Linked DNA regions of Arabidopsis thaliana. The protein of the gene in region 3 interacts with the protein of the main gene of each other region in a pairwise test. Each region holds a gene or a part of one and is shown on either strand. Other genes may lie near its edges.

Region 1 (7,534 bases), on a different chromosome or scaffold from region 3:
ACTATTATGAGTCTAATTCTATTAGTTATACAATAATAAATAAAAAATAAATATAAATTAGCGATAAAAACAATTAACATATTTTTATTAACAATTTTTAAAACAAATCCAAGCGTAATGGAAATTCATCTAGTATAAGTAATGTTGCGAAATAATGTGGAACGGTCTGATTTGTTATCTGACTTTAGTTAATTAAAATTAAATAAAAAATTTGACGCGTTTTGTTAATCTAAATTTCCTTTTTATCAAAAAACTGATTGTTTCCTTTTTATTTTTATTTTTACTAAATTCATGTTTTCCTTTTCTTTTCTTTTTTGGTCAAAGTTTTCCTTTCCTTAATTTCCTTTTTCGTCAACAAATTTGTTTATGATTTCCTTTTTTCCAACTGAAGCGTCGAAACGTAAAATATCTCTCTATATATATATTAATTCACTCAGCCTCACTTTAAGTCAATTTCATCGATCTCTTCTCTTTGATTTCACAATCTTATCTCTTCATATCAAAAGTTAGGCTTTGAATCTTCTTTTTCTTCTTCTTCTTCCACCATGAATACATATAGTAATTTGGTGTCCGTAAAGATTACTACAACAGCAATGATCCTACCACAAGATCAAGGGTTTAGAAACACCGTGTTCGTCAATCTACAAGATGTGGTCAACGAGTTAGCTGAAGATCAAAACGGTGTCGTAATGTGTTTGGGAACGTTCGCGGCTCCACTTATGACTAAAATCGAATTGAAACCATCATGTCTCAGTTCACATCACATCTATCAAGACCTTGACGAGTTCATCACACATACTGAGTTTTGTCGATTGTTGAGCGAAAGGATCGTTTTGGATTGTGCTCATATTCCCCAACCTTTTAGTGTGTCCTTATACGTGGAAGTGACAAGAGATGTTATGTTCTCGTCTATTGCTGTTAGGTCGACAGATACGTTTCAAAGATTGCTTGAGGAACAAACAATGGAATTGACTGATTTGGGAGATGAAGAAGAAACCACTTGTTCGATTTGTTTGGAGGACTTTTCGGAGAGTCATGATGATAACATCATTCTGTTACCTGACTGTTTCCATTTGTTCCATCAAAATTGTATCTTTGAGTGGCTTAAGCGTCAGAGGTCGTGTCCTTTGTGTCGACGAGTACCGTACGAGGAAGATCTTGAAACAGAGTGAAACCGTCACAGAGACTTGAAGCTAGTCTTAGGGTTTATGATGCATTACTTGTTTCTATGTTTCAAACATTTGCTTTTGATGTATTTTTTGTAAACCTAATCTTTTTTGTTAATCCTTTCGAATGAAATGCTTGATAGAGACTACTATTATGTACAACAATTTAGAGTTATCAAGAAGATTTGATTGATCAAATAAAAATGTTTAAGTACAAGGATCTCAATTTCTAACTGGTTATATGGAAAGACACGAAACTTTGGAGTGATCTTACGAATCTAATCCAAAAAAACTTTCCCTAATACTCTGACATTATACACATAATCTGATGTTGAGATCAAAAGAGTTTACACAACTGACTTGACACAAACGAACACTTCACCACAAAGGATATGATAATTTTACATTGTCAATGTTTTCTTCCACCTTTACTCTCTTTTTGTAAGGCATGAACCCTCTCATGTTGTTCATCTCAGTCACCGACGATTTTAACTGAGAGAAAGCTGATCTCTCACTTCTTTTGAACTCCGACACTACCACTTCTGTTTCAGCGTTTTCTGAAGTAGAAGAAGAACATTGAAGAGACTGTGTTTCTGAGTATAGCTTCTTCTTGCCATCTTCAGAATCATCACAACTCATTGAAGAGTTGTAATCACCAACTACAAAAGTTTTTCCAAAGAGCTTAAGGCTCTGTTTGGTCTCTGCTTCTAGAGACAATGATTCCTCTGTGTGAGATGATAACTCAGCTGAAGAAGAGTTAGGTGAATTTGAACCAATGGAACCTAATCCATCTGAGCCATGAGCTGATAAAACCGATGTTGGAGATCGGTTATCTTCATCCTGAATCAGCTTGGATCCGGTTAGTTCAGCGTATACCATCTCTTTTGCATCAGGAATCACAAGCTTTCTAGGGTAAGGATGCATCGGCTTTCTCTTTGGCCTTGGAGGCGGGATCTCAATGGACTCAGAGCTAACACCAAAATCGCGAGCAACCTAATAAGAAAAACTTGAATTAGACCTTGCTTAACACGAAGAGGTTGAAACTTTTTCATGTATAAGGGTCTGCAAGAAGGCAAACCTTAGTAAAGAACTTCTGCGCATGGCTTCGAATCTGAACTGCAGTTTTTGTTCCAACATGTTCTGTTCCATAGAAGAACCAACAAAAGTCAGATCTCTACTCATTACTAGGGTCCAAGTAGTTTTCTTATATCTTCATCAAACTTAGATTAGAATGTGCATTAGACTCTCTAAAGTCAGATAAGCACACACACCTTCGATTCGTCTCCAAGCTCTGCCATAGAGTTTCAATGCTTCTACAAACTTCTCATGCTCTGCTTCTGTCCATTTCTCTCTTTGTTTAGTGATGGTATAAGGCTTTCTTGTCTATAAACAAAACAAACCCTAAATTAACCTCATATTTAAGTTCAAAACCAATCAAGAGTAAACAAGAGATTAAGAAACAAAATTAGTACCTTGAGGTAAAAGGCATCTGAGGAAGATATAAGTTCATCAGAACATAAACTCTCACAACGTTCCTATAATCACAAAGTAAGAAAACACAATTAGTCTCTTAATATATTGTAAGAGTAATTAAATGTTACAAAGAGTCTAATAAAACTAATTAATACGCAACTAGAAGAGGTAGACCACCAGTAATAATTAGGGGATTAGAGACATGTTCTTACCTAATACGGATCAATACATTAAGAAAGAAGTAATCTCTCTTTAAAACAACCGACCATAATATCCCACATAATCGCCTGGTCTATTAACACAATTTTTAACCTGCCACAATCGAATAATCTTCAGTTCCAAGTTCTCTCAGACAAAGAGATTAAACTTGAAATTAGATAACAAAATAACCTATTTTCTCTCGGACATAAACCTAAGTTTAGGTTAAATCTGTCTGGATTCCACAAGACTTGAAACATAACAACAGTAACAAAACCAAGATCAAGATTGCATAAAGAATAACAAAGAAGATAGATCTCAAACCTGCATAGCCATGGTTGCAGAAGAAGAAGAAGAAGACTTGAAGATTTAAGATCTGAAATCTGAAGCTGAAGAAGAAGAATAAAGAGAGAGAGAATTGTTTTGAGATTGGTGAGAGAGTTGTTGTTTATGAAAGGAGCAGAGTCAAGGGGTTACTTTAAAAGAGCAAGAAGAAGATAAGCCACGTAAGCATAATGTTTTTCTTTTTATAAAAATTTGGGTGAAAAAGCGTAAAGAGGGGTTTCGAGAAACTAGTATCATGTGGCTCAGGTTAAAAGATGCTAATGACACGTGGAGGATTTCTTCTTCGCTTTCACTTTTGTCTTTGCGGAGAAGATATTATCTGTTCTTTGTTAAATCTTGTCGGAGATTTTTAATTGTTTAATTTATCTACTAGAAAGTTTTTTTAAAGAAGCTCATTTCATGATTATTGCCAAACTCGCGACTGGTGAGCGCGTGTCTTGTTTAACAACGTTGTTTACTTCTTACCCCATTTTGTTGTTTTTTATTAATCAAGTTGATTGCATATTTAATTTTAGGTTTAGGTACAGTATTTAATTGAAGTTGAGAAATACAGTTCCATAAAATAAGATTAAACAATTATATTATTTATTAGTAATATAATCACTATTTTTGTTTTATTAGAATTAACAATTAAATAAGATCTCACTAAATAGATCTAATCATATCATATTGACATGAGAATATATTAAATGAATATATTATTAAATTGTTTTCAACAATTTAGCGATTTGAGTTGACACACTTTATCTATTGATAATTCTAATTCATATAATGTTATAGAACATATTCTTATTCATAACAAATTTCAACAATTAATGCTATTTGTGGAACATTGAAAAATATGTGATATATTTGGAAACAAAATTTGTTTTTGTGCTAAGAATTACCCACTAAAATTTGGATTTTGGAATATTATTTTTTCTTCCTGATCATATAATTAAACAATTTCACTCATTTTATTCGTACTATGTATATTTGCATCATCAAACTGATGAATAGTAAAAACCTGAAAATATATTACATACTAAGATCTCAAAATTTGAATATAAAATACTAAAATGCATCAACTTAGAAGATGATCAATTGAAAATAAGTTTAATATCATATGACATGTTTATCAAAATAAATATATAAGTTAGTTTAGATAAAACATAATATGCAATTTGAATACTAGAGTAACAATAATATGCAATTTGAATGTTTATGACCCAACAAGTATTGAATAAAGACAATGTTGAATCACACCTAGCAAATTGTTTATAATTCAAGACCGTTTTTTCATTTATCTTTTATATTAATTTTGTTTATTCTTTTCTATAAGAATTTGGCCTACTTTGTTTCTACTATATATAACATAATCTTTAATTTCTATAATCTCAACTAGACGGTGTGTCAAAGTTCTAGTACCATTCCACTAGTTAGAGCTCATAGTACCCGAGAATGATGAGTATAGTTGGTGATGATATATGATTTTGAAAAGATTATATGAGAAACAATAGCTAGAGAAAGAGCCCTTGATACCTTTCTGAGTATGTCCATATTCAAATTATTAGAAGTAATAACATATGATTGAGTATGTTGTACAATTACATACAATATATCAAAATTTAAGTACGAAAATACCACACAATTCATCAAAATAGAATAAAATATATGCTTAAATGTAAATAAATTATATCATGCAGCAATCAAATCATTTTCATCTAAACAAATGTGCAACTGGAATTAGTTAAAAAATTAAATTTATATGGTTCCTATAAAATTATAGTAAAATATGTCGCATATCAGAACAAATGCTCTAATTATACAAAATTTATGATATTTTCGATCACTTAAATAATTCTGAATTAAAATATAATCACGCTCTTTATTATATTGATATTTTTGAAAGCATTTTAAAATAACCTTTTATAACATTTTTTTTTGAAAATGTCTCCAAATGTTGTCCATTTTCAATCAAATCACTCTTACAAAATTTTATAAAATTTGAATAAGGAAATAAACAGATTTCGTTTATTTCAAAAAATCGTAAAATACTTGATAATTTGGGTTTCAGATAATCAAACATAAACTTAGATGTAAATATAAGAAGACAAAACTGAATTTTAGCATGAACAAAGTGAAAAAAATTGTGTACCCAGCCACTCTCAAGCAAGAACAAAATGTTCATCTTATTAAATCTATAAAAACAATTTCAAAGTCCAACCAACATACATATCGCCATAAATATTAAGAGACATTTTCATCAAATTAAGTTAATCCAATAAAATTAGTATTTTAATACGCTATTCTTTTGATTTTAGTTAGATTTTTCTTAAACATTTCTAGAAATTTTACCGTAGTTTTTTTTTTTTTTTTTTTTTTCTTCTCAGTATTGTTTTTGCTTAAATACTTTAAATTTAGACTATTTATACCTAAATGAGGGCCAAGAACTTTAGACTATGAACCTAGACTTATCAGGAATAGTTAGGTTTCAAATGACAGATCATATATTTTTGGAGTGCTCTCTTTTGACCCAAGTATGTGGCAAAGAAAGCGAGTAGCTAAATAAAAACATACACGAGCGTTGTTTAAAAAGAAGAAAGAGATATTTAAATTTCAGTAGCCGTCAACTTCAAAACAAAATTAAATAGGTATTTTATGTGAAGGACAAAAATTGTAAAATAAATATCTGGAAGTCTTCAATGAAAAAAAAAACCATTTATCCAAATTAGAAATTGTTTGGTACAACTGTCTCAAAATGAAAGAGGAGAAAAAAAACAACACTTTTGTTTTGCACTTTATTGCCTAGTCAGCACAAAAGTGTTGTCCTCTGAGATGTTCCAAAAGTCAGACACGTGTCGTTGTGTTTAGGTAATAGAGAGAAGGATAGGGATATGGATGGTTTGTTATTCTACGCCACTCGATTATTTTTTTATTACCAAAAATTTGTTGCCCACTCGTTTTTTTTCGGTGTTTTAAGCTATCGAGTTCATGTTTTTTTTTTCTTCAATCGCTACATTTTTTTGTAGATCTTACGAATCTATAATATTCTTAGAAAAATACTTGTACCAGTAAAATACTGGTGTAGTGGCCACTAAGAAGTTCTTGGTTCATGTATTTTTGTTGCTTTTTTTAAAGAAAAATCGAAATATATACTTTTTCATTATTAACCGACGACTATTTGATTACTATAAAGAACAGTCGGTGCAAGTGAGAGTTCTTTCAACAATCTAAACTTATGGACGAACAAATATCTATATGGGAAATTGAGAATTGACCCTAAGTGTATAGTCGTTGAAAGGTTTTTTTTTTCTTCTTCTTTAATATCTAAAAGTCAAATCAAAAATGAAAGTGGAATGATTGAGAATTCATCGTGACAAGATTAAACAATGCTTATTGATGTAAGATTAGTATACGATCTTAATGGGCCCAATCTTGTTAGCGTTTTGGGTTAACAAATTTTGCTACTTGCCGCCTCGGTGTCTCATATTAATGGGCTTTGTAAGGCCCAACGCTCGCTTATCATTTTGTTTCTCGACGCCGAGCCTCGCCGTCTCATCTTAATCGGCTCCACCGTGTATTACATGTGTGACTATAACAGAGCAATAAGAGAGGATATTTTGAGGCCAGAAGTGGTGGATCTTATGGAGAGGTACGCAGTTGCTGAATCAGTCTGTGTAAGCTTTAGTAACTTGGCTAAGGTGTTTCTTGACAAGCATGTTCATGCAAACACATGAGATTCATATGTAATGTTAAGGAAACAAGCATTGCTGATTTTGATTGGCTCCTTTTGAGATGAATGAGAAAAGAGTTTCAGTTTCTTTCCGCATTCAGAACTCGGCTCTTAAATTCTTAATCACTCAAGATTCTTCTTACACAAAACTCCTGGGACAGAACCAAGCGCTAGAAGACTTGCTGAAGCAAACACTAGACAGACGATTATAAATGAACAAGTCATCCGTCATAAAACAACAAGGCATCTCCAAGACTTGACAGAGAATCAACATCTGAACAACTGTATGTATAACTTTCATTCCCTGCTCTAGACGCTTTAATGACTTGTGCAATTGAGGTTATGAACTCTTTGTTTTTCTTGCATGCTTTACAACGTTTGTTTATCTGATTAGTTAGTTGTTGCAGTCAAAAGAGGGTTACAGACAAAGCATGACAGAGATGGTGTGAGGAGAAGCAGGCCTTAGTTTCCTCCTTTCAGGGAGGGACATTGTGGCACAGGAAACCGCTTCCAAAGCGATGAAAGATGCAAAATCTGTGGAAAAATCTAGTAACCAAAGTGAGGAGGAACAACAATTGAATGAGGCTTGGACAGATCCACCCCATGAAAATAACCCAAATGGTGATCATATATTCTC
Region 2 (8,319 bases), on a different chromosome or scaffold from region 3:
CAATCCATCATACGGCTCCCAAGTATCTTCTTCTGATTTGTATTCCTTCTAATACACCTAAAAATGATGTAACATAAGAGAAAGTTGATATATAGTTAATCCCATGCATGATGACTAGCATTTAAAAAGAGGACTCTTATAAACAATATACGTGCTGATTGTCTTGCAAAAAAGGCAATAGCACGAGGTTTTATCTTTTTCATGTAAGCTCTTTTATTTTGGACTGATTTTTTTCCAAAGAAAACCGTACAGTTCTAGTTTAAATAGATAATTTTATTTTACCGTTCATATAAAAAAAAAGCCAAAAATAAAGTAATTTTACCAATGTTATCTTTGTAACACTATGTCACAATTTAAAGGTTACTTCTGTGATTCTAAATATATTGGGAACAATTAACAAACTTCATAAACTATATGAGCAATTTCATTCGAATGTTTTATGGAAAAAAACCTTCACGTAAAAGATTTTCAAAAGAAAATCTGTAAATGATATCAATATATAAAGGATATCAATATAAAACGGATATATTTTGATTCATGATAGTAGAGAATATATAAACTCTTTGGAGGAAAATAAGCCGTGTGTCTTTGTGATACTCGGAAACTTAAACAATATTAGAATCAATGTGATTTATTTATAGAAAAAGGAATAAGGCTTTTAAGCTTCAATCAAACGAAGCTTATAGCTGAAGATATTAAGAACTTGTTGTATTCACATAAAGCAAAAAAGATGAAACTTGTTCGTCCTTTATTGTACATCTAAAAGACTAAAAATTTATGCTCATAATGTTTTCTTTTGCCTTTTATATTCATATTACATTATACATGATCCTCCTTTCTTTTGGCGCATGGCATATTTTGTCAAACTCTATTACAACATTGATTCTAATCGATCTACAGTTGAAACTAGTGAATCGAATTTTCAGGTAGAAGTTAAATTTGATTTGAAATGTACTCAAGTTTATGCTATCTTTCTCATATAATATCCAATATTTTAGACTAGTTATATGTTGTTTATGTCGAAGATTGTTATTTGTTAGGTACGAAAAATTTATATGAGCCACCACATATATAGTTGTAATCGACCATTTTCTGTAATTTATTGGTTAAGATTTAAGAAGACTAGAAGAGGGACCGATGTCACTAGATTCACAAACTTAGCAACTTAAATTTACATGAATCCAAGTTACATATTAAACCAATGACAAGAGCCGAAGCACCTCATGAATCCAAAAAATCTACGTAGGACGGTAACTTTTGTTGATCCTGAGACAAAGGATATAGCCGAATATGAGTTGCAACCAAATCTTAACTTCTCTCTATCAACGACGATAATCTTAGTTGCAACATGAAAAACATTCATAAACAAACATTTGCCGGTTCTCCTTTAGTCGCGGAATGATCTCTTTCCAATGGCCAGAGACATGTTGTGGTAATCAAGCCTAGTACTTCTTTAATTTATGGTTCCGAGAACCATATTTGAATGTGTAGATTCACCGTTCCATACGTTCACTTTCGACCTTAACTCCATTTTCACTTTTTAGAATCTTGAATCCTGACTCCATGCTATGTTCTTTTAATTTGTTTGTACTTTGGAGAAAACCAACATTAATTTCCAATAGGGCATAATTTGAGATTTTGTTTTTTAATAATAAATACGTACTAATCATGCATGGGACTTGTTGAGTATTTTATCGATATTGAGATCTAAGGTAAGAATTCTGTTCTTGCATTGCATATATTTTTGAGTGGCATTTGATAGATTAGACACACATATATGTCTTTATAGTAACATATGAATAATCTTTTTTCTGTAAACATAAATGATGTTGAATGCAAATCAGTATATATTTATCGGTATCTATACTAAAATCATATATGTATATTCAAATCATAAAGTAGGAAGCAGTGTGGGCCGCTATTCTACTGGCTTCCACTACTGAATTTCCATAATATATAGTTCTTAATCGAACCAACAAAAAGTTGAATCCATATGGACACATATTTATACATGGATATGTACGAACATAAATACATGCATGTATCCAGAAAATGTGCAAGTTTGCAAGTTTGGACATAAATGTAACTATGTAAGAGTAACGGCACTATCACAAACAATTAGGTTATAAGTGTTGGTTTTGTGATTGTTAAAATTAAAATTTATGATTAAACATGAAAAAAACAACTCTATAAAAACAACAAAGAACTTCATATGACAAACCACCAATTATTATGTTCTCTAACTTTAATAAGTGATTAACAAAGATGTTACCAACGACAAAAATATGTATATATATATATTCAAGAACAATGACAGGAACAAAAGGTTATTCAACATAAAAACAACCCATATATGCTAAATTCAGCAATAAACCCCCCTTAAAATATTGAAAGAAGAAGAAAATACATTAAAAATTATTGTTATGCTTTAGAGTCTCCAAGCTGAATTTAGCATATGTTCCCATCCGTCTTGACAACCACAACCCTCTCTCTTTAATCACCTATATATAATTAAAAAGTGAAATTTAGGTTAATTATTACATATATAACATGAGAGTATGTAAGTTAATGTTTTTAAAAATATATCTATCTATTAGTTTATGATAGATTATTATCCCAAATTTTCTAAGCCCTAAATCATTCTTGCTTTCGTAGTTGGTCCCCTCCAACACTATTGTTGCCTCTGCCCACCTTTGAAGAGTCACCTTCTTCTTCTCCCATCTCTACTTTTTCTCCAAGTAATGATTCAATCTTTGATCATGACTTGTGAATTTTATTTTCTTTTATTTTTATGCTAAGCATTATTAAATAATATCTTAATGCTAATTAAGAACCGTATGATATACGTAATTCACCTTCTCTACCTGAAATTGTTGCCCCCAAACGTTGGTGTCCAAAAATCGGCTGTTGTTTCGTTAGCCACCGGAAACGTGCTTGATATTGGGACGAGACATAGACCATGTCCTCTTAGTTCGTGATTCTCATTTTCATCTTGACTCTTCGATTTACCAGATATCTACATGAATCCATACTGAAATTAGTACTTATTTAACCATGATTATAGCACGAAGACTCCAACTTGGACAAAACTAAAACACTAGATCGTGTATTGAACCTGCTGTTGTTGTTGGTTCGAGGCACCTTGTTTCATGTATGGAGTGCTTAGAACCTGTATTTAAAAAACATTAATATGCTTAAAAATTTGCTCATTTCTAGGGTTTTATGAATTCAGTGAGTTAGGAGAGAAATCACAAGAAACGTACAGTGACTTGGTCGTGAAGGAACTTGATGTACTCTATAGCTTCTTGGAGAACAGATGCAGTATCTGTCTGAAGTTTAACCCAAAGATATACAAAATAAACAAACTAAGAAGCTCAATACATAACCAAGGGAAAATAAATGCTTTTGGTTGTATATATTAAGCCATATAAAATAAAGTAAACACATAAATCATTCACCTTTCCGAAAGGTGAAACTAGTTGTTGTAATGAAGTTATCTGGTCCCTTAGATTCTCTTTTCTCACCTGTTACATATACAATCCATTTTATCCACCAAGAAATTGAATTAAAATAAAAGGTCTTAAACAAATCTTGAAATATGATCATGTACCTTGAAAGTTGGCAACGGTGAAGGCGTGGTGACTCTCGGTTTCTTCGCCGCAGATTCATTATCCTTTGCTCTCTTCAAAGACTCACTCTGAGCTCTTGTCTTCAGATTCTTCTCAACAAAAATAAATAAATAAATAAATTCAATAATATAGCCACAAAACTTATATAGTAGCAAAATTATTTTGACATATATGAGATAATTTACCTTGGTTTTGTCCTCCAAACGAGTAGATATTATCTGCGGAGTGGTTACAAAATTGCTCGGCGTCGTGTTGTTTAAGTTAGTGGTTGATGAAGAATTCCAAAAGGGTCGAGAGTTTGCGTTGTTAGAGAAGCTGTTAATTAGTCCATAAGCTACTTGATGATGAGGATTTGTCTTATTAGCCCAAGAAAGTTGAGGATCGTTGATTGAACCACTTGTGGTGGAGACAAAGTTGTATGGACTTGGTTCGGGATCGTAAAAGGTTCGTATCAAGCTTGAGGACGAAGAAGTTGATGGAGATGAAGAACAAGCTGGATTAAGTATATAAGGTGAAGTAGTTGTGGATAAGAATCCTTGGCCATGATCTTGATCTTGTGAGCTCCTTATGAAGCTTGAGTTTAAGTCTTCTTGTCTGAAAAATACAAAACAAGAACAAAAGAGATCTCATGATTATTATTAAAAATCTTCAATCTTGTTCATCAAGAAAGTGAACAAAAAAAATTAAGTTAGGGTTTTTCTTTAAGAAGTTTACAAAATGGTTTGGTTCCAATCTGAAGAACAATTTGAGGAAAACCCTAGACCCATCATCTGCAACGTCGAGTCCATCGTCACGGTACTTCCTCCACTGTCAGAATCCGCCTCTCGCTGCCCGAAAACGATGTTGTTGTTGTCCGTACAAGTCATCCTAGATTTGAGATGATTCTCTTGCGAGCTAAAATCATTGGAAGTGATAGCCGCTCCGAAGCATGGTGACAAGAAATGATCCGAAGGAGACATAACGCTCCTTGGCGAGTTCCACCACGCGCCACCTCCGCCACCACAAATCGATGCCGTAGCTTTAAACTCCTCCGCCATATTAAGAGAATCAGAAAGTTTTAGTATAAGCTTTCTACTAGATCGTTGCTATACGAAGGTTAAAGTTTTTATATATATGAGTTTGTTGTATGTGATATGAAGAGCATAAGTGTAAAATTTTGATATATGTTTATGAGGGTGTGTATGTTTATATAGGCAAGTACGGACAAGTGTGTGGAAATTACCGGAATTTAGTTGACATTTGAAGACAAAAACTTATATCATCATAACATTCCTATGTGATTTTTTTAATTAAATAATCTTGATTTTAAATTTTTTCCTTAAGCTAAATATTTTATTTGACAGAAAGATGTTGTAATAATAGTGTTCCTAATCCCTCAATTTTCTTCTATTATTATAAGAACAACTGTCTTTGTGAGATTTGTTTCTTTGCTGCTTAGCTTTTCGAAGAAGTGATAATGATCCTCATTTTATAAATATTTAAATATTTAATTTGAGATTAGATAGGTGTTTGGTACTATTATGCAAGATGCCAAAAGGGGATACTATTTATATATAGACATTATATCTAACGGTAACCTTTGATTGGTTGCCATCAAATTCTACAAATCGATCGTTTATATTAAGTGGTCAGAAATAGAAAACATATCACGATTTTGATTAAATCAGTTTTTAGTAATTGTATAGACAAAACACGAAAATGACTGATTATAGTCTACGCATGCGTATATATATAAATGTACATAAATATGAAAGACTAAAATTTTGAAACTTGATATTTTTTTATTACTTTCATGCTTCCATACATGATTTTTATCAGATCACTTTAGTAAGCTTAGGAAAAAAAAAAACTAATTAGTCTATGCAAGCGTATTAATAATTGTTTTATTATTTTGGTAATTATAAACGACTAACCAATTTTTGAACAACGTTTCTTCTAATTAATTATCCATACTTTCATACAGTAATGATTATCTTGAAGTTAAAATATATGTTTTCTCAATCGCATTTGCTAAAAAAAACTTTAAAACATATATCTTCAAGGATTAGACTCACTTATTTTCAAAAGTAATATTCAAAGATTCTTTCGAGATAAAAGTTGAGTCCTAGGCTAGCTCGTTCAGGTTTGAGTTTTCAGTACTTGGGAGGGATATTTATACTTTAACAGGTATTACTATTACTAAAAATTAGTTTTAGATCGAAAAAGCGATCATAGGAATTTTTATTTTTTTAATAGACGATCAATTGTTTTTAGCTCGATTGGAAAACGCAAAATTAATGGCAAAACCTAGAGTTAGCACTTGATATGAGTTCGATATTTATTTCATTGTCGATCGGATTCTTTCGGTTAAAAATAGTACTATAAAATAAGATTTGTTCTTGTGGCTTGAGGCTAAAGGGATAAATGGTATATGATGACGATCGTCGATCGATGCTGAGTTTCGATCTGTGTGTCACGTCACCGTTTCTGGACCTATTGTGTTTGTGACTTTTTTCACAATCTCTTTATACCAAACGGTCCTTATTCTTTTCAACTAGCTTTTTCTAAATTCCGTAAATATTTTATTCTTCTAATAAATTTGATAAGTCAATCAATTATTGCACTTTAATTACAAGTCATTGTTTTGTTTTTCTTCTTTCTCTTAATTCTTTTTCCATTTTATGTGATAGACTGATAGCCACACAAAATATCAAAAAATGGATTTGTTGAACCTGATAATAGTAACCAGTTCTGTTCTTTATGATCATTATACGGCTCGAGGCATAGTGAACCGGGCTGTGTCACCGTCCATAAAATATACAAGTTTTATCAAACGATAGGCATAGATAATAAACATAATTTCACCGATATCCATGTATATAATATTTATATATCTATCTCCTTTCAAAATAAAAAAAAAAATTGGACATATTCTAAGCTAAATTGTGCTAGTATCGTTATTACGAAATTCAAATTTACGTTATGTATCTTGACAAAAAAAAAATTGTTATGAATGCTTGAAGAATGGTATTTTTACGTTACATGTAATACAAAAAAGACACTAATCATTTATGGTAGTCCAATGATTCAAAAATATATTTTGTAATTGGGAGACCATTGTTCATGGTTAGTAGAAGTGAAAGTCTTAAATGTATTCGGCAAAAAAAAAAAAATATCAAATGAAACTCGTAGATTTTTATTGTTCATGGCTATTCGAATTGTGAAAAGTCTTAAATGGTAAAAATATGACACAAAAATATCAAATGAAACTGGTAATATTTTATTGGATAATGGCTATTGAGGACAAATGAAGACTATAAAGGCCCCAATTTATCTAATTATTATTAAAATATTAATTAAGAACTAATTGAATTTTTTTCTTAATGGTCTCTCTATGCGACACAATGCATTTTGACTTAAAACTTAAAAGAGCTTTGAAGCACTGAAATACAGAGACAGTTAGGTCAGATCCATGCGACTGACTAGTAAGTTTTCATCGTGCAATTAAAATTAATTTTAATATAAACTAAGAAAGTGTCAAAACAAATTTGATCAATTTGCTTAAGCCCACCAGTCCACTCCGCCAAAAATGAAAAAAATAATAATTCATTATTGCAACGTGACTAACTTTTTATTTATTTATGAAAACACTTGTTTCGTTTAGGTTGATATCGATAAAATAAAAGTTATGAAATGAACGTCAAAAGAATGTGTCACAGCCACCGTATGACAACATAAGTTAAATCCGAAGAATCTTTGTCAGCCCATCGGTTGTTTTCTCTAACGGTCTGGTCGATCCCATCGATATGTACACCGACACTCCTCTAAGCTCTTGTCGGTCGATATTTGGATTTTATTATTATCGGACACATATGCTAAATTTTATAGTCCCCAATCTTATTCAGCTTTCTTCCATTTTCTGTTTAGTATATTCATGGTGGCAACATATATAGTTGAATCAACGACTAGTTTTGAAATATACCGCTTTTCACAATGCAAGTATACGAACACTTTCGGATGTTGGAGTAAAACTTGATCACGAACAATGAGATTCATGCACTCGTTGTATGAAAAAAACTTAGTTGACGAAGAATTGCTCCAAAATACGTATTGCTATATACGTATATAAAGTGATATAGACACGTATATACGATTAGAAGCAATATGAACATGTATAAAATTTAAAGTAGGTGAAGGAAAACGACAAGTAGTCAAAAAATAGGACCCACACGGCAAATATGAGTGGAGACTTTGTTTGGCGCAGATAGTCGGATAAGTGTCAGCGACTCATTCTTTTCTTCAAACCCCAAAATCAAATCATCATATGTCCTAACAATTTTTTGTTTTGTATTTGGAAAAGCACATGTTTCTTTGTTTTTATGTTTATGATAACATTCTTTTTACACGTAAGTAACGTAATGCTGTTTTTGGGACTCACGGGAGCTCATATGTAATTATTATTTTCATGTAGTTCACATAAGTTCGAAAACTAATAAATAATTAAGTTATCTAAAAAGAGTCCTAGTATTATATGAATCAAATTCTCAAAATGTCCCATATAACAAATTATGTCAACAACATACGTACTAATCTCTTTTGCAACAAACTCAGCCTTAATTTTTTAAACAAACTAAACATATCGAAATTTAAAAGGAATACCTCATATTAAAATATACTATAATCATTAAAATTGATATAAATATTCGATATA
Region 3 (7,843 bases):
TGATTGTTTTTTCTTATTTTCCTCTCTTTGACTCAAAATTCTTTTTGATCTGTTTTTTTCAAATTCATAAAATATTTTCAAAACAAGCAATAATGGCAATGGTCAAAACATTCAATGGTCAACCAGAACAAGCAATAAGGCAGCCGATCGCCTAGCTAAAGCTCATTATAATGGCAATGTTTCTTATGTATCTCATTCTTATGTACCAACTTTTCTTGTACAAATCCTCCATGAGGATTACACATCATCACTCTAATAAAGCTTCATGTTGATGTTAGAAAAAAAAAAATATTTTCAAAACAAGATGAAGACGGAAGAAGGTTTTCATGTTAACAATTTCAAAGTTAAACATGAATTCGATTTGAACAAGTTTCATGAGATTAACGACGACATAGAAATGGTGGAAATTGTTCAACCAATTCATGGAGATCATTCTAAAGTAAATCATCAATTCGACTTGAACAAGCTTCCAAACTCAATTCAATTATTGAGAATATATATAGCCATTTGATTAAACAAAACATACTAGTTTTGCCGGTAAACAAAATTGGAGTAGATTTCTAAAAAATTTGGCTCCAAATTTTAGTTTTTTAAAAAAGTTTACGTGAGTAATTGAACCAACGTAGAAGTGTGTAGAATTTGTTAATAATGCTGACGATGTTGACAAGAATAATTGTTGTAAATGCATGGGGATCTTACACATGGGAAATGGATACATAAATACAAAAATAACCCATACCTGCCTTTCTTCTTTTTTGCGTATGTTTATCAGATTTATAATTTTATTAAATAAAATTTTAATAATTCAAGATTAATTAAAATTGTCATTTTTAAATTTACTTTAATATGTGTGTTTTTCCTAAACAAAAAAATAGAGTATATGAAATTAAAATGGATCATTTGTTAGATAAAAATTAGTTTATAATTTATAGAAATGTTGATTGACGATGAACTTTTATAATTATTAATTTATGATATTGATAAAACAATCAGTTTACATAGAATTTTCAATAAAACTTTAATCATTAATTTCCAGAAAAACGAATTAGACGTGGACAACCTAACTGACATCCCTAAGCACTTGACCTTATTTTTTGTAAGAGTAATTTGCACCATCGATAAAGCATAAGCCATATTTCAAAATATGTACACCTCACTCAATAAATTAATTTAAAAAAAAATGTTTTCTTGTCTCATGTGTTCTTTCTATATTGCAAACATAATGAAAAAAAATCTAAGAATTGTTTTACAGTTTTTATTTCGTGGACAGAAGTTTGAACGACTAACAAAGAGCTTCAACGTGATCAAAGACATGACCCGGTTGAGATGCTTATACTCATTCAGTCATCCTTGTCTTTTTGTGTCGATCTAATGAGAGATCACATCTCTATATATATAAGAACACCTCTAAAACAGATGGTGAGAGTTAAAATGATCACACATACAATACTAAAATGGAAATAAAGAAAGTGCAATAAGTGTCGGCGGATTTATATTGAATGTGAGACTGATCTAATTGATTGAAGCTAATTTCTATCGATTTTTTTTTTTTTTTTAAGAATAATACATGCAAAGTAATCTAAATATCTTCCATGATCAAGTAGAACTAACCTTTCAAAAATTCTCTACTCATTCAAAACAAAAAGCAAAAAAAAAAAAAAAGGTACACATGAAAATAAAGGAAAAAAGACTTGCGTGAAAAATAATGAATCTTCAAGCTTAGCCTAATAATCAGGTTAGGCTTAAAAATGTCGTGGTCATATACTACTAGTTGGCGACTGAAAAGAACAAAAGTTGCCACAAATCTGACGACTTGTTCTTTTTTTTTCTTATCTTCTATTGTATATTTAGTAACAAATGAACATAAGAAGTAAATTAATACGTTTAAGACCAATTCATTTGTTCCCACTCCCAAAAAGGTTGCGATAGCTCATCAACCATATCTGAGATGCTTTGTGTAATAGTAGTAGCATTCACCGGTAAATCAACTTGGTTTCCTCCTGAATGTGAAGTTTCTGGTGAGGTTGATATTGTGGCACGAGATGATGTCTCAACTCCATTGCTAGGAAGATTTCTCTCTATCGCATAAGCTTCTGTGGGACGTCTGTCAAAGGCTCTCGAGCTTCCTGACTTTATGTAGATTCGACAGATACTGAATTCGGGCCTCAACTATATTGAATAGGAACAAACTTCGTTAGAACCTGTTTTGATAATGAAAGCTTAACTATTGTTTTACTAAAATATTATCAGTAACTTAGATATTATAACATTATGCATCTTAGGGAATCCCTAATAGGGATGGTAGAAATTCTATAACTCTAATATATAACCAATAGACAAAAGAATGCATGCATGAATATTTTGGTTTTTATCATTTATGTATGCATGATATTTAATTGGATAGTTTCAAATACTTAAAAACACATGTAATTTTTCGCACACTCTTTTACCACATATATAACTTTTGAAAACAACGATATATGTAAGACAAGATTATATATGTGAGATATAAAATAACCATGATAAAGATTTTTGACATGAATCAAAGGGTGATTCGTTTTTAATAATCTCTGTTTGTAATAATTGTATTAAAGATTATTCTGCTAGTTCACTGCACATGCTTGTCCAAAAAGGTGTTGAGACATCAGTTATTTTTATATTGGAATCCCACAAATAGAATTTGGTATATTTGAGAAAAATTATTTGATGAAAGTCTTCATTTTAAAGAAGTGATTATGCACCTTTGGGATGGTAGATACACTGGCTGTTTCAACTGCTTTATATTCATTCATCTTCCACTTTGTCTTTCTCCCAGTAGGTGCTTTTCCGGTATAGAAAACCATCGTCTTCTTTACTCCGATCACTCGGTTATCCGGCGAGAACACGGGTCCAGGTGAACCAGTTGCTTTCCAGTATCCTGAACCAGTGGTCCTACTTGGTCTGCCTCCTCTAGCTTCACGCTCTTGTCTTGGCACAAAGAAAATCCATTGTTCTGCATCTCCTCGACACCTCTCTCCCGCAAGATCTACAAACAAAAAAACACACAAACCAATAACACACCTCTCAATTTTTTTTGTGTAAATCCTCAGTTTATGTGTATACGTTTTCCTTAATTACATGTAAAGTTAAACTTTGTCGAAAATGAAATTGTTTAATTTTAGAAATGTGATTGTTTGTAAAGTTTTTTTTTGTAACTTATAATTAACCACGAAATCAAGAAACACAAACCTAAATCTCATGCATACAATCTCAAGATAACGTTAGTCACGTTACTCTACTCAAGAAACGCAAGAAGGAAAACTCTACAGTGAAAGACTACACATATATACGACAAATATATCATCGACATTATTTATATAGCTAATGATTGCATACGTACTTGGAAGCTGAGTAGGCTCAACGCTAAACACATCGAGGATCGGTATGAGACTATGAATGGTGGCATTTCCTCCACCAAGCTGGATTCTTAGGTAATACGTAAGGAGCTCTACTTCGGTCGGATAGAACCGAAACCCTACAGAAAGCTCTTCTCCCATTTTTTGGTGTGTTACAAATTTGCTTCTTGAATAAAGTGAAACCACATGGACTCATGATGAGTTTAAATAGGTGCAAGTAGAGATTAGTTTTCTCCGAGTGAAATGAGAAAAGTTTTACGCGTTTGGACTTTAGTTTTTTGTTCATGTATTATTACTTGTCTTTTCATATTTTGTTGGGGAATTGGACACGGGCCCATCTTTGTGATAATTTCGTGCCATTTCTATCATCTATACGTGAGACAGTGAGTGCTTTTCACAAACCACGTACTTTATCATTGAATAAGTCAAGGTTTATTCTTACTAGTCTTCTTCTAATATTCTTTATTATATCCTCCTATTTTTTTGTTACCTCAATGAATGTCTGTTTTTCGTAGAAACGTAGAAAATAATAAATCATATAAATATATTTGATTTTACAGTTTTTTTTTACTAAAAATATATGGATAAATGAAGTAAAGTAAATATCAATATTGCATATATTTGATCTTACATTTTACAATTTGAAACGAGGTAAAATCATCTTCAAGTGATTTTTGCTGAATTTCGATCATTTGGTCTACTACATTTTAGGTTTGGATGAGCTATATATATTATTGAAGTTCAAAGCATAAATCATCCATTCTAGTGGCATTTAGTTTTAGATGTTGTGGATTAATACAATCCGCCGAAGCTACTTAAGCTAAAAAAAACATTAAAGGAAATTAATACTACTACCATTTTAGTTGTACGGAGTCGTTAGGCGGGGTATCACATTGACACATTGGGATGTGGAGGTACTGTTTTTTTACATCAGCTATGACGTTTCTTTGTTTGAAATCAGCTATTAGTCTCAAATTTATGGTTTAAGAAATTTCTTTCGCCTTTTATAGAGAAAGAGATTGTTAATTGTTTTATGCGACACAATTGTTTTATCATGTCGCATATTAAACAAGTCTACGAGAAAAATAATAGGCAAACCAAAATATGTATTGTGTGATACAAACATGCATGATTATCCACATACCTATTCAGAATTAAAAAAATTTGAGAGTTGAAGACATTATTCGAATAATTTAAATATGCCTGAATTGAATAGTAGTTGATTAATCAATGATTTTTAGTGTGAAGTAAAATATAAGAATAATATTGTGTAGAAATAATAAACTGATGCCAATATAATAATCTTTTCAAATCGAATAAATAATTCATAGTTTTTACTTTCGGTTTTAAGATTTTTTAAGTTTTAAGGGTTAGTGTCCGAATTTAGAGTTCTATGATTTAATTTTAGTCTTATAGAGTTCAAGAGAATGTGGTTAACCAAATTTCTGTATGAACAACTATTTTTTAATAGAAAAATTCAATAGTTCTTGGTAAATGGATTAGGCCCTATGAGCTCCAAATCCAAATTGACACCATTAATAAAAAAAAAGCTATTGTAAAAATATCTTGTTATTTAATTTATATTGTCAAAAATATTTCTTATTTAACAGATTTATTGTTGGAGTGGACCATAACAACAACAAAAATCGACATAACTTTGTGCCAAAAGGCTTCCACGAACAAGACAAGTTTTGGAAGGAAGTATGAACCAAGAAGTCAAGAGACAAGGCAAGGTGAGATATAAGTGTTGGTGCGGTCTTCTGAACATTAATCCAAGAGTGAACAAAAGATAATAAATCGGTTGAAAAGTTTCAATTAACAGGTGATACCGTACAAGTAGTGAATTAAAAAAATAACTAAATGGTATCGAAAGAAAGAAAAAAGAAACCCCAATAACTTAAGTGCAAGTGTCAAACATTCCACGAGCAGTGAACGTTAAGACTAATTGGTCCACAAGACCTCATACTTGTGTACTTTATATGTATACAATAAATTTAGTTGTATAAATATTTATTGGTTGAAAATTTTTAAGGTTTCATGCTTGTGTAGTAAATCAATCTTTCAAGCAGTTCCATGATTTTCTTAATATATAGTGTTTCCGATTAGTCATGGGGTTTATAGTAATGTTAGAACATCACAAAATTTTCGGAAAGCACTACTATAATCAAATATTTAAAAAAGGGTTCGTATTTCTGTAGAAAAATGGTCTGCAATATGATCTATTTTTTGTTTGTTTTTTCGGGTTTTCACTAATCCAAAATGCTTTAGAAAATAGTTGGTTCCTCTCAATAAATATTTGATCTTTTAAACATTGGATAGATGAAAGTATATATATGAAAAAATGAAAATAAGTTAGATATATATGAGCTATAACGAGCTTTTTGTTTTGTTTTGACATCAGCTCTGACGTAATGAATCTCAAACTTTTACTCGATGAATTTATATAGTTCCTTCGTATTAGTCCACACAAGACTCTTTCCTAGTGAAATTGATGGTTTTATCATGCCGCTCAATAAATTTTCTCGTAGACTTCTTATATATATATATGCATCCAAAAAAAAGACTTCTTAGATACATAAATAGTCAACCAAGATGTACATTGAAAAGAAAAAAGAAAAAATATGTACAGTTAGCCATAAACATATTTTTTTTGTTAAAGAGCCATAAACATATTGCAGACCATTTCTCGACAGAAATATATATATATATATTAGCCATAAACATTTTGCAGACCATTTCTCGACATATATATATATATATATATATATATATATATTAAAAGGGAAAAAAATTCAAAAACCAAATTTAATATCGCATACGATTATAATATCTTTGTAAATCTTATTATTTGTTAATTATTAAGAATTATAATAGTAAGACTAAAGGATGGTTCCTGCTATATATGCATGAAACAAAAATAATATTTTAGGTATTAAACAAATTAAATATTTTTATTTTATGTTTGAGAATGGTAATGATATTAATTTAATCCGAATTTTAAGTTACATTGAGACTAGGGTTAGTATAATCATAGGGTTTATTATTATATTGACCCAAACAATTATCAATATAATTTATGACATATAAGAAAGTAGTAAAATCATCCTATTTACGATGGAGTGGATAAACCTAAGCAATGTGGCTCTTGCTTAAATAGACTCAGAGTAAAGAAAAAATAGGAAGCTACAAGTTCATATCAAGTGGGTTCATTATGTCCTCAAGTTCACATATTCATAAATCAGTAAAAGTGGTGAGTGTTCAAACATATGCACAAGTAGTGAACGTAAGACTAATTGGTCCAAGTGTATATCGAACTTTAAAGTTTCATGCATGCGCCGTAAATAACTTTATTATTTTATCTTTCATGTAGATCCATGATTTTTTTTCTTGATTGTAGTTTTACTCGGAACATACAAATTATTTAACAAAAGGCGTCAGTAATGTATGATACGCTAATTATTTCTATACATGTAAGAAGTCTCCTAGTCGCACCATATAGGATTTATGTGGATATATGTTACACAAAAAAAAAAAAAATCAAGTTCATCATTAATGCAGTTTAGGTCTTAAACAATGTAAGATTCGTTTAGGTCTTTACAAATGGGAAGTGAGTTTAGAGAAAAGAACAGACAAAAAGTTGCATCAAGTACATGTAAAATAGTCATGCCCGATTTTGATTTCATTATTGCACAAAGTAAGTTGTGAAAAAAAAAAAATAAATAATAATAATAATAATAATAATAAAAAGAGTTGTGTGGAAATGATAATTTACATGTTTTCATGTAAGACAACCGCAGAAATTTTCTCGGAAACTGTCTTTCGCTTTTGATTGCGGAGACCCAAAATGCAAAAAGTCTTGTTTCTTTGGTCTACATTGCGGAAAGAGATGACGAAAAGGTCAAATCAAATTCTCTTCTTCTTGATCTTCTTATTTTTTCGGAATAACAGATCTTCATATTGATTATATTTTTCATATTTTTTTTTCTTTTTTTTTTGGTGAAGAGTCTTAGCTTATTCAATGAGGTTTATATACTATTCAATTAAAAAAAATTATCGTCTAAATTTATATATTAAACAAATATTTTCTCACATAATTATTGTGTATGCAGTTTTATTTTTTTACTATAAGTTTAAATTGAATATATATTTTGTTATAATTCTTATCAACCGAATTTTTTATTACCTAATTAGCTATGAGATCAAATCATCTACTCATCTCTTCCTCACTCTATAAAATTCATATTTCTAAAATTATCATTTTCAAACTACATATTTCTTAATTATACTTTTAAAATGACCCCTTTTACTGTAAAAACACACTCATAATTTTAACTTATATAACTTTTTTATAATTTGATAAGATCACTAGGCTTTCAAAGCACAATTTGTATAACGGCATCATACAAAAAATTCATAAATAAATTCATAAATATAAAAATTCATTTTAC
Region 4 (7,124 bases), on a different chromosome or scaffold from region 3:
ATAACATTTTCATAACAGTACTTTTTATGTAACGTTATGCACACGCCATGTATAGGTGTAACGTACATTCATCATGTGCTGATTAATAATGTTTGTGGCATGCGTAGGACGATCGCGTCAGGCACGATACCGGACCCGGGTTCGTTGGTTGGGAGCGGCACGACGGTTCTGGACGTACCGGTTAAGGTGGCTTATAGCATAGCGGTTAGTCTGATGAAGGATATGTGTACGGACTGGGACATTGACTATCAACTAGACATTGGGCTAACCTTCGACATTCCTGTTGTTGGTGATATCACCATTCCTGTCTCTACTCAGGGAGAGATCAAGCTCCCTTCCCTTCGCGACTTCTTTTAATTACCTTATTTCAAATATAGTTTTCTTAAATCATAATCTAATTTTCAATAATGTACGATCCATAAACATAGACGATCGGAGATTAATACATTTCTGGAATCCTTTTTTTATTTTGTTGATTTCAACAAGGATTTTATTGGTTATTAATTATGTATGTTTTTCAATTGTGTGTGTGATTTATCTTTATTTACCTGCTATGCGTAGAAAAATCTGTTTCCTGAATGTCGAGAGATTTGAACCATATATTATCCCATATGAAAATGAATACACTCCACTACTATTCCGCAAGTCAAATGTAAAAAAAAGTTTATAAACAAAAAAAAAAACTAATAAACATAAGTTTGTGTATGAAAAAAGATGGTTGTCTCCAGCTAAATATAATTGCGAAAGATTATTTAGGAGCAAACTGGAATGTTGAACTAACTAAAACTAATGCATTTAGTGTTAAAAATCCAAATAATCTGTCAATATTCTTTCAAATTATTGAACTAGAAAACAGCTGTTTAAATGATTGTGGAAGACTCAAACACAAAGTTGTGTCTTGTATACATTCAAAATACATTAAAACCAAAACAATGTACATAAATTGATGAAATTGAACCCTATTTATCTAAAAATAGTTTCCAGGTGGGAACGATTCTATACGACGTTATACTTCCTTTTTCTTTTTATCTTTCTCGAAAGAATCCTCTGACGTTGACGCAAAAGTCAAATTTGTGTAATGAGCTGGCAAATTCTAATTGGCGCAAATCGGCATCCCCACCGATACGCAGCTTCTACTTTTCTTCCACCTATATGACCGTTAAATTCAGACTCAATTTAATACCATTCCCATTTTTCCACTGCAATAATTGACCCCAGTTGTGTTAGTGGTTAGGACAATTACATTAATTTTTCTTTTACTTTTTAAAATTTATTTTGGGTTTTCATTTAAAGAATTGATTGCACATGAAACACAGGCAGGACATATAAAATTCAACACTTTCCATCACTAAGTTTGGTTTATATAAATCACATAAACCAGAAGTAATTAATCAGATAAAGACCGAAAAAAAACCACCATGGCAGATTCTGAACATGTACGGCCGCTAGCTCCGGCGACCATACTTCCGGTGAGCGATGAATCCGCCTCCAACATCAAGAACACACACCGTAGTAGAAACAGAATCAAATGCTCAATCTGCGTCACTGCAACATCTCTAATTCTAACCACGATCGTGTTGACTTTAGTTTTCACGGTGTTCAGAGTCAAAGACCCGATCATAAAAATGAACGGCGTAATGGTCAACGGCCTAGATTCAGTCACGGGGACTAATCAAGTCCAACTGTTGGGGACAAACATCTCGATGATCGTTGACGTATCGGTCAAGAATCCGAATACGGCGTCGTTTAAGTACTCCAACACCACGACGGATATATACTACAAAGGAACGTTGGTGGGTGAAGCGCATGGGCTACCGGGGAAGGCGAGACCGCATCGGACTTCGAGGATGAACGTGACGGTTGATATTATGCTTGATCGGATATTATCGGATCCGGGTTTGGGTCGAGAAATAAGTAGGTCGGGTCTTGTGAACGTGTGGAGTTACACTAGGGTTGGTGGTAAGGTGAAGATTATGGGGATCGTGAAGAAGCACGTGACCGTTAAGATGAATTGCACGATGGCTGTGAACATTACGGGACAGGCGATTCAAGATGTTGACTGCAAGAAAAAAATCGATCTTTGAGGTATACGTCATACGATCGATCGATTAACGTTTTTTTTTTTTTAGACAACGTGAGATATGCGGATTAGAAACTTTCGTGACAAAACCAACAAAAAACACTATCTACTTGTTCTAGTTGTTTTTTAAAAAATTTGGGTCATTTGATTATCAGCACGATGCAATAGATGTGTTTCTTTATGTTTTCTTCTTCTTGCAAAATTTGTTTTTGTACAGTTGATCAGATTTTGAATGGAGTGAACATAAAGTCTACGTTAAATAAATAATATCAACGTTCCAAAAATTGACCGATGACTAATCCATTAACGTATTAAAATCTTTGGATCATATGTACTAAACCGACTCGTTGTAGATTAGTTAGTACGCGTTGGCTAACTGGTCGATTTAACAATTTCATTCATACAATTTTGCTAGTTTAACCATAACCCATTGTTTGCTTTAGTTGTAATTTTGTATGATCTAGATACAAGAAATACATCGTTTTCCTACGATCTTCGTGATTAGTTTACATACTCATTAATCGTGACCATTATCAGTTTTTCAAACCTCGGGTCCTTAGTTAGTACGAACCCCGAGCCAAGAGTGTTTAGTAAATTGTAGTGGGAAGCCTTGAATTACTCAAATGTAACCAAAACGAATATCAACGAAACATGACAACGAATAAGTGTAAAATATTTTCAAAGAGGACCCATCAAACGAATATTGTTAAACAGTCAACGTTACATGGCTCGAACACATTTTATACAATAAACAAAAAAAATTACAAAGTAAAACAAGAAAATATATTATTCCTTGGGGTTGGGCCACTTAATTAATAAAAACCTAACTTACTAATAAATGCAAATTTCAGTTTCCAAACAATATTAAATGCATCAGCTGCAATTCCCACCCACCTCTTTTTCTCTTCCCCTAACTAAATTAATTAAAATTAAATTTTCAAAAAAATAAAAAAATAAAAATCTCTATCACTCTCTTCTCTCTCTCTCCCACATGGACCCAGTCTTCTTCTTCTTTACCATCAAATGTCAACACTCGCCTCCTCCGCCTCCGTCTTCCTAGTCCACCCTCCCCTTCCACCGTCGCCACCACAAGCAGGCAACCACTCTTACCTCACAACTCTAGGCTTTGGCTACTCCATAGCCATAGCTCTCGGTTTTCTCGTCCTTCTCTCGACCGTCCTTTTATCCTCATACATCTGTTGCCGTGACTCTCGCCGCCGCACAACCGCCGTGGAATCCACAGGCGATCGTGGCGGAAGTGTAATCCTCCCCCGCATAATCTTTGTCGCCGAGGAAGACAATGAAGATCTCGAAGCAGGTGATGTCGTGGTGGGACTTGATCAAGCCGTCATCAACTCATACCCTAAGTTCCACTTTTCCAAAGATACCTCCGCCGCGTCCTCAGATGGCTTTGGTGGCGGAGGAGACACAACGTGCTCGATCTGTTTATGTGAGTATAAAGAAGCGGAGATGCTGAGGATGATGCCGGAGTGTAAACACTACTTCCATTTGTGTTGCCTTGATGCGTGGCTTAAACTCAACGGATCTTGTCCCGTTTGTCGGAACTCGCCGCTTCCAACGCCGACTTCAACGCCTCTGTCAACGCCTTTGTCAGAAGTTGTGCCTCTCTCCCAGTACGCGGCCGATCGGAGGAGAGCAAGAAGATGATATTATTATTACATAGATCCATTCGCCTAAATTAGGGTAATTCCTATTTATTATTTTTGCTCCGTTTCATTACAACTTTACTGATTTGTAATTAAAAAAAATCCGTCAAAAGTGGAGTTTGCCATTAATTTCATCGAAATGAAATCTAGTTTGAATCGTTTACTAACCTTACAAAATTTATCCTTTTCTATTGGCGTTTTTGAACGTTTTTTTCCGTTTCCCCTATCAATATGAGCGGTTCAAAATAAAATACGCGTCCGTGTTGTGTAACTTAAATAAAAGAGTTTGAGTTTGAACAAGGCAACTTACTTTTAGTTTTTTGTTGTTTTTTGGTCAAGGGTCGGAAACTAAGTTTAGTTAAAATATTAGATTTGTTGAATGTCGGAAATAGATGTTTCTAAAGTTGGGAACAAAAAGAGTTACGACTTAAGATAGTATAGTTTTTTTTATTGCATAGCGAGTACAGAAGATGAATTCAACGTCGTAAACTCGTAGGTCCAAATGTTGGTCGAGTTAAAGTGTACTCTAGGACAACTTTTCTAAATGAAATTAACATTTTTATAGATAAAATGTTTTTGTTTATATATATCACATGTGATTTTTGTTTCAAACTAACCGATCACAACATACCTATGTTTGAAGAAGCGTTGCCTTCAAGCAATTCTGCATTTCTTCTACGTGACCTGGATGTTTCTGGTTCGATGATAGCCGAAAACTGTTATATTTTTCGTAAGGCGCACGTTAGTCACACGAATCCTAAGGAAGGTTGGTTGGTGTGAACACTTTATATTAATACATTTGAAAATTATGGTTAGTCAATATATAGTCATAATGAAATGCGAATGTGTTATTTGACTTACACTAGTCCACAAATTCGCTTTTTCCTACACGGCACTATCCTGTGGAGCGTAGTGGTAATATGTTTTTGTAATTAAGTAATTAACCTCGCTTTGATTTTGATTTATTCTCTTTCTAGCAACTTGTATATAGGATACATAATTAGATGTATATCACCTACGGAATGTAATAGAGTTTAGCATTATTACATTACATCTGAATAATAAAAAAAGCAGTAGTAGATTAATACATGTTAAAACTTAAAATAACTCGACCTATCAAAGCCGCTTACTTAAAGAGAGAGTTACGTCGTGAGCTTGTATTTTTATTTTTTTGACGGCCCAGTAATATATTAAAAGCCCAAAGGCAAACATTATAGAAGGCCCTCTTAAGGGGATACAAGCGAAATTACGTCGTGAGCTTTAATGCTTCATCATAATTAAGTTTGAGCCGTAAATTTCGCTATACGATATGGGACACGTGTCGTGAATCTACTCGTGGTATCGGTTACTTAATGAAAAGGCACCATTCAACGTTTTCTTCCTTATCGTTGCCTACACGTTTCAAGGCTCTGCTTCTCCGTCAATTAACGTCCGTTTTCGTCATCAAAATACTAACGCCGTTGATGACCTTATTTAAAAATTAACTCCGAACCACGACGTTCGGGTTTTGGAACCTCAGGCTCGTGGTTATAAAAGTCTTGTGTGAAACCTATTATATTTGCCATTGCTTAATCCTCTCCTCTCCTTCACGTTGAGATATTTTTGAGTTTTCTGTGTTGAATTTTGGGGAATCGAAGAAATTGAATTTCAAAAATCAATGGCGGAAGAAATTGAAAAATCTGTGCCGACAGAGGAATCTCTGATGGAGAAGATCTCCGAGAAGATTCACCATCACGATTCGTCGTCATCGTCTGAATCCGAGTACGAGAAACCTGATTCTCCTTCGGCTGTGAAGGCGAAGATCTATCGTATGTTTGGCAGAGAGAAGCCTGTTCACAAGGTTCTCGGTGGTGGAAAGCGTAAGGGTTTTATATATTCAGTGTCTCGTCTTTTCTTTTTCTATCATTTTTTTCTCTGGTTTGATCGATTTGGAACATGCGTTGATGCTTGATCTGCAATGTTAGGGTCTAGTTACACTCGTATAAGATCGCTTGGTGATGATTACATAATTGCATTTTCTTGAATCGATCCATTAAGATTTGGGCATCCAAAAGAAGACTTGAACTTTAGGGATAATGTTTTTGAATAGGGAGAGTTCTTAAGTTGGTTGATTAGATTGAAGACATTTACGTTTCTCTAATTTTGCAACTTGTGGAAATTTTGTTACACCAATTTTTGTATGAATGCAATAAATTGGCTTTATTGGTTTATTATGTTATTGACTTCTGAGTTCTGAGGGATTCTGATTTTTCTGTTTCTCAATGACTCTTTGCAGCTGCTGATGTGTTCTTGTGGAGGGATAAAAAACTATCAGGTGCTGTTCTTGGTGTCGCGACTGCTATTTGGGTTCTGTTCGAGCTGGTTGAGTATCATTTGTTGAGTCTTTTGTGTCACATTTCGATACTCGCTCTTGGAGGCCTCTTTTTGTGGTCCAATGCTCACACACTTATCAACAAGTAAGATTCAAACCCTTGATCATGTTAACCCCGCCCTAGATGTTTGTTCTTTGTCTGGTTTAAATGGTCTTAAAACCTTCTTTTTTCATTTTTGCAGGACTTCACCACAAATTCCAGAAATCCATGTTCCCGAGGAGGCTTTCCTTGTGGTTGCTTCTTCTCTGAGAAACGAACTAAACCAAGCTTTTGTTATCCTACGAAGCATTGCTTTAGGAAGGGACCTAAAAAAATTCCTGATGGTATGCTCATTCTTTGTTGCTGACGTTTGCTGTGTTTAGTTAAACAGTTTAGGAAATGATTAAGTTTGTATCGGAAATTAGTTACATTTCAACCTTTCTCTGTTGAACCGTGAATGTATCACTTATACAAAACATAATATCGTAAGTATCTTCTAGCAACAGTGTGTCAAGTTACAGTATGTCATAGCCCATTAAGACCCTTCAAGTAAACTCATTGTCCTGAATCTGATGATGAGATTTGTTATGTCAGGTTGTTGTCGGTCTATGGATCATCTCGGTGGTGGGCAATTGGTTCAATTTCCTGACTTTGGTGTACATTTGCTTCGTGATATTGCACACAGTCCCAATGTTGTATGAGAAACACGAGGACAAGGTTGATCCATTGGCAGAGAAAGCAATGAAGGAGTTGCAGAAACAGTATGTGGTTTTCGATGAAAAGGTTCTCTCTAAGATTCCCATTGCTTCTCTCAAGGCAAAGGCAAAATTGGGTTAAAAAGAGAGACAGACGTCTATGGTTTTCTTTTTGCATTTTTGATCATGTGAAATTGGTGGTCACTTGCAGGGTTTTGCCGCTAATGGCCCAACTGTCCTTTTTATGATTTTATCACGTTTTGAGTACACTTGTTTTTTCTTTTCAAATACCATTTTTTCCAGCTTTTTATGGAGAATTCTTGAGCTCATG

The links.
Region 1: the proteins of NAC061 (region 3) and RVE2 interact in a two-hybrid assay, tested with the Arabidopsis thaliana proteins (one large-scale study listed by BioGRID).
Region 2: the proteins of NAC061 (region 3) and AT1G61660 interact in a two-hybrid assay, tested with the Arabidopsis thaliana proteins (one large-scale study listed by BioGRID).
Region 4: the proteins of NAC061 (region 3) and AT2G46160 interact in a two-hybrid assay, tested with the Arabidopsis thaliana proteins (one large-scale study listed by BioGRID).

What each region holds. Positions count from the first base shown.
Region 1 is NC_003076.8:14,749,800-14,757,333, forward strand, and holds RVE2 (Homeodomain-like superfamily protein), read right to left. Parts: upstream 3,290-7,534; 5' UTR 3,174-3,289; coding exon 3,162-3,173; intron 2,702-3,161; coding exon 2,639-2,701; intron 2,550-2,638; coding exon 2,438-2,549; intron 2,307-2,437; coding exon 2,245-2,306; intron 2,160-2,244; coding exon 1,545-2,159; downstream 1-1,544. Other genes in the region: AT5G37250 (RING/U-box superfamily protein), read left to right, coding at 546-1,172. UniProt on the Arabidopsis thaliana protein: Positive regulator for cold-responsive gene expression and cold tolerance. Part of a regulatory feedback loop that controls a subset of the circadian outputs and modulates the central oscillator. Negatively self-regulates its own expression.
Region 2 is NC_003070.9:22,751,506-22,759,824, forward strand, and holds AT1G61660 (basic helix-loop-helix (bHLH) DNA-binding superfamily protein), read right to left. Parts: upstream 4,867-8,319; 5' UTR 4,667-4,866; coding exon 4,344-4,666; intron 4,224-4,343; coding exon 3,815-4,223; intron 3,719-3,814; coding exon 3,611-3,718; intron 3,525-3,610; coding exon 3,459-3,524; coding exon of another isoform or gene 3,375-3,458; exon of another isoform or gene 3,330-3,374; coding exon 3,264-3,329; intron 3,170-3,263; coding exon 3,116-3,169; coding exon of another isoform or gene 3,098-3,115; exon of another isoform or gene 3,017-3,097; coding exon 2,865-3,016; coding exon of another isoform or gene 2,861-2,864; exon of another isoform or gene 2,502-2,860; coding exon 2,498-2,501; 3' UTR 2,106-2,497; downstream 1-2,105.
Region 3 is NC_003074.8:16,020,952-16,028,794, forward strand, and holds NAC061 (NAC domain containing protein 61), read right to left. Parts: upstream 3,569-7,843; 5' UTR 3,537-3,568; coding exon 3,380-3,536; intron 3,026-3,379; coding exon 2,742-3,025; coding exon of another isoform or gene 2,700-2,741; exon of another isoform or gene 2,511-2,699; intron 2,170-2,510; coding exon 1,885-2,169; 3' UTR 1,624-1,884; downstream 1-1,623.
Region 4 is NC_003071.7:18,960,006-18,967,129, forward strand, and holds AT2G46160 (RING/U-box superfamily protein), read left to right. Parts: upstream 1-3,077; 5' UTR 3,078-3,103; coding exon 3,104-3,748; 3' UTR 3,749-3,784; exon of another isoform or gene 3,785-4,280; intron 4,281-4,390; 3' UTR 4,391-4,684; downstream 4,685-7,124. Other genes in the region: AT2G46140 (Late embryogenesis abundant protein), read left to right, coding at 108-357; AT2G46150 (Late embryogenesis abundant (LEA) hydroxyproline-rich glycoprotein family), read left to right, coding at 1,419-2,084; AT2G46170 (Reticulon family protein), read left to right, coding at 5,405-5,606, 6,023-6,203, 6,301-6,442, 6,693-6,935.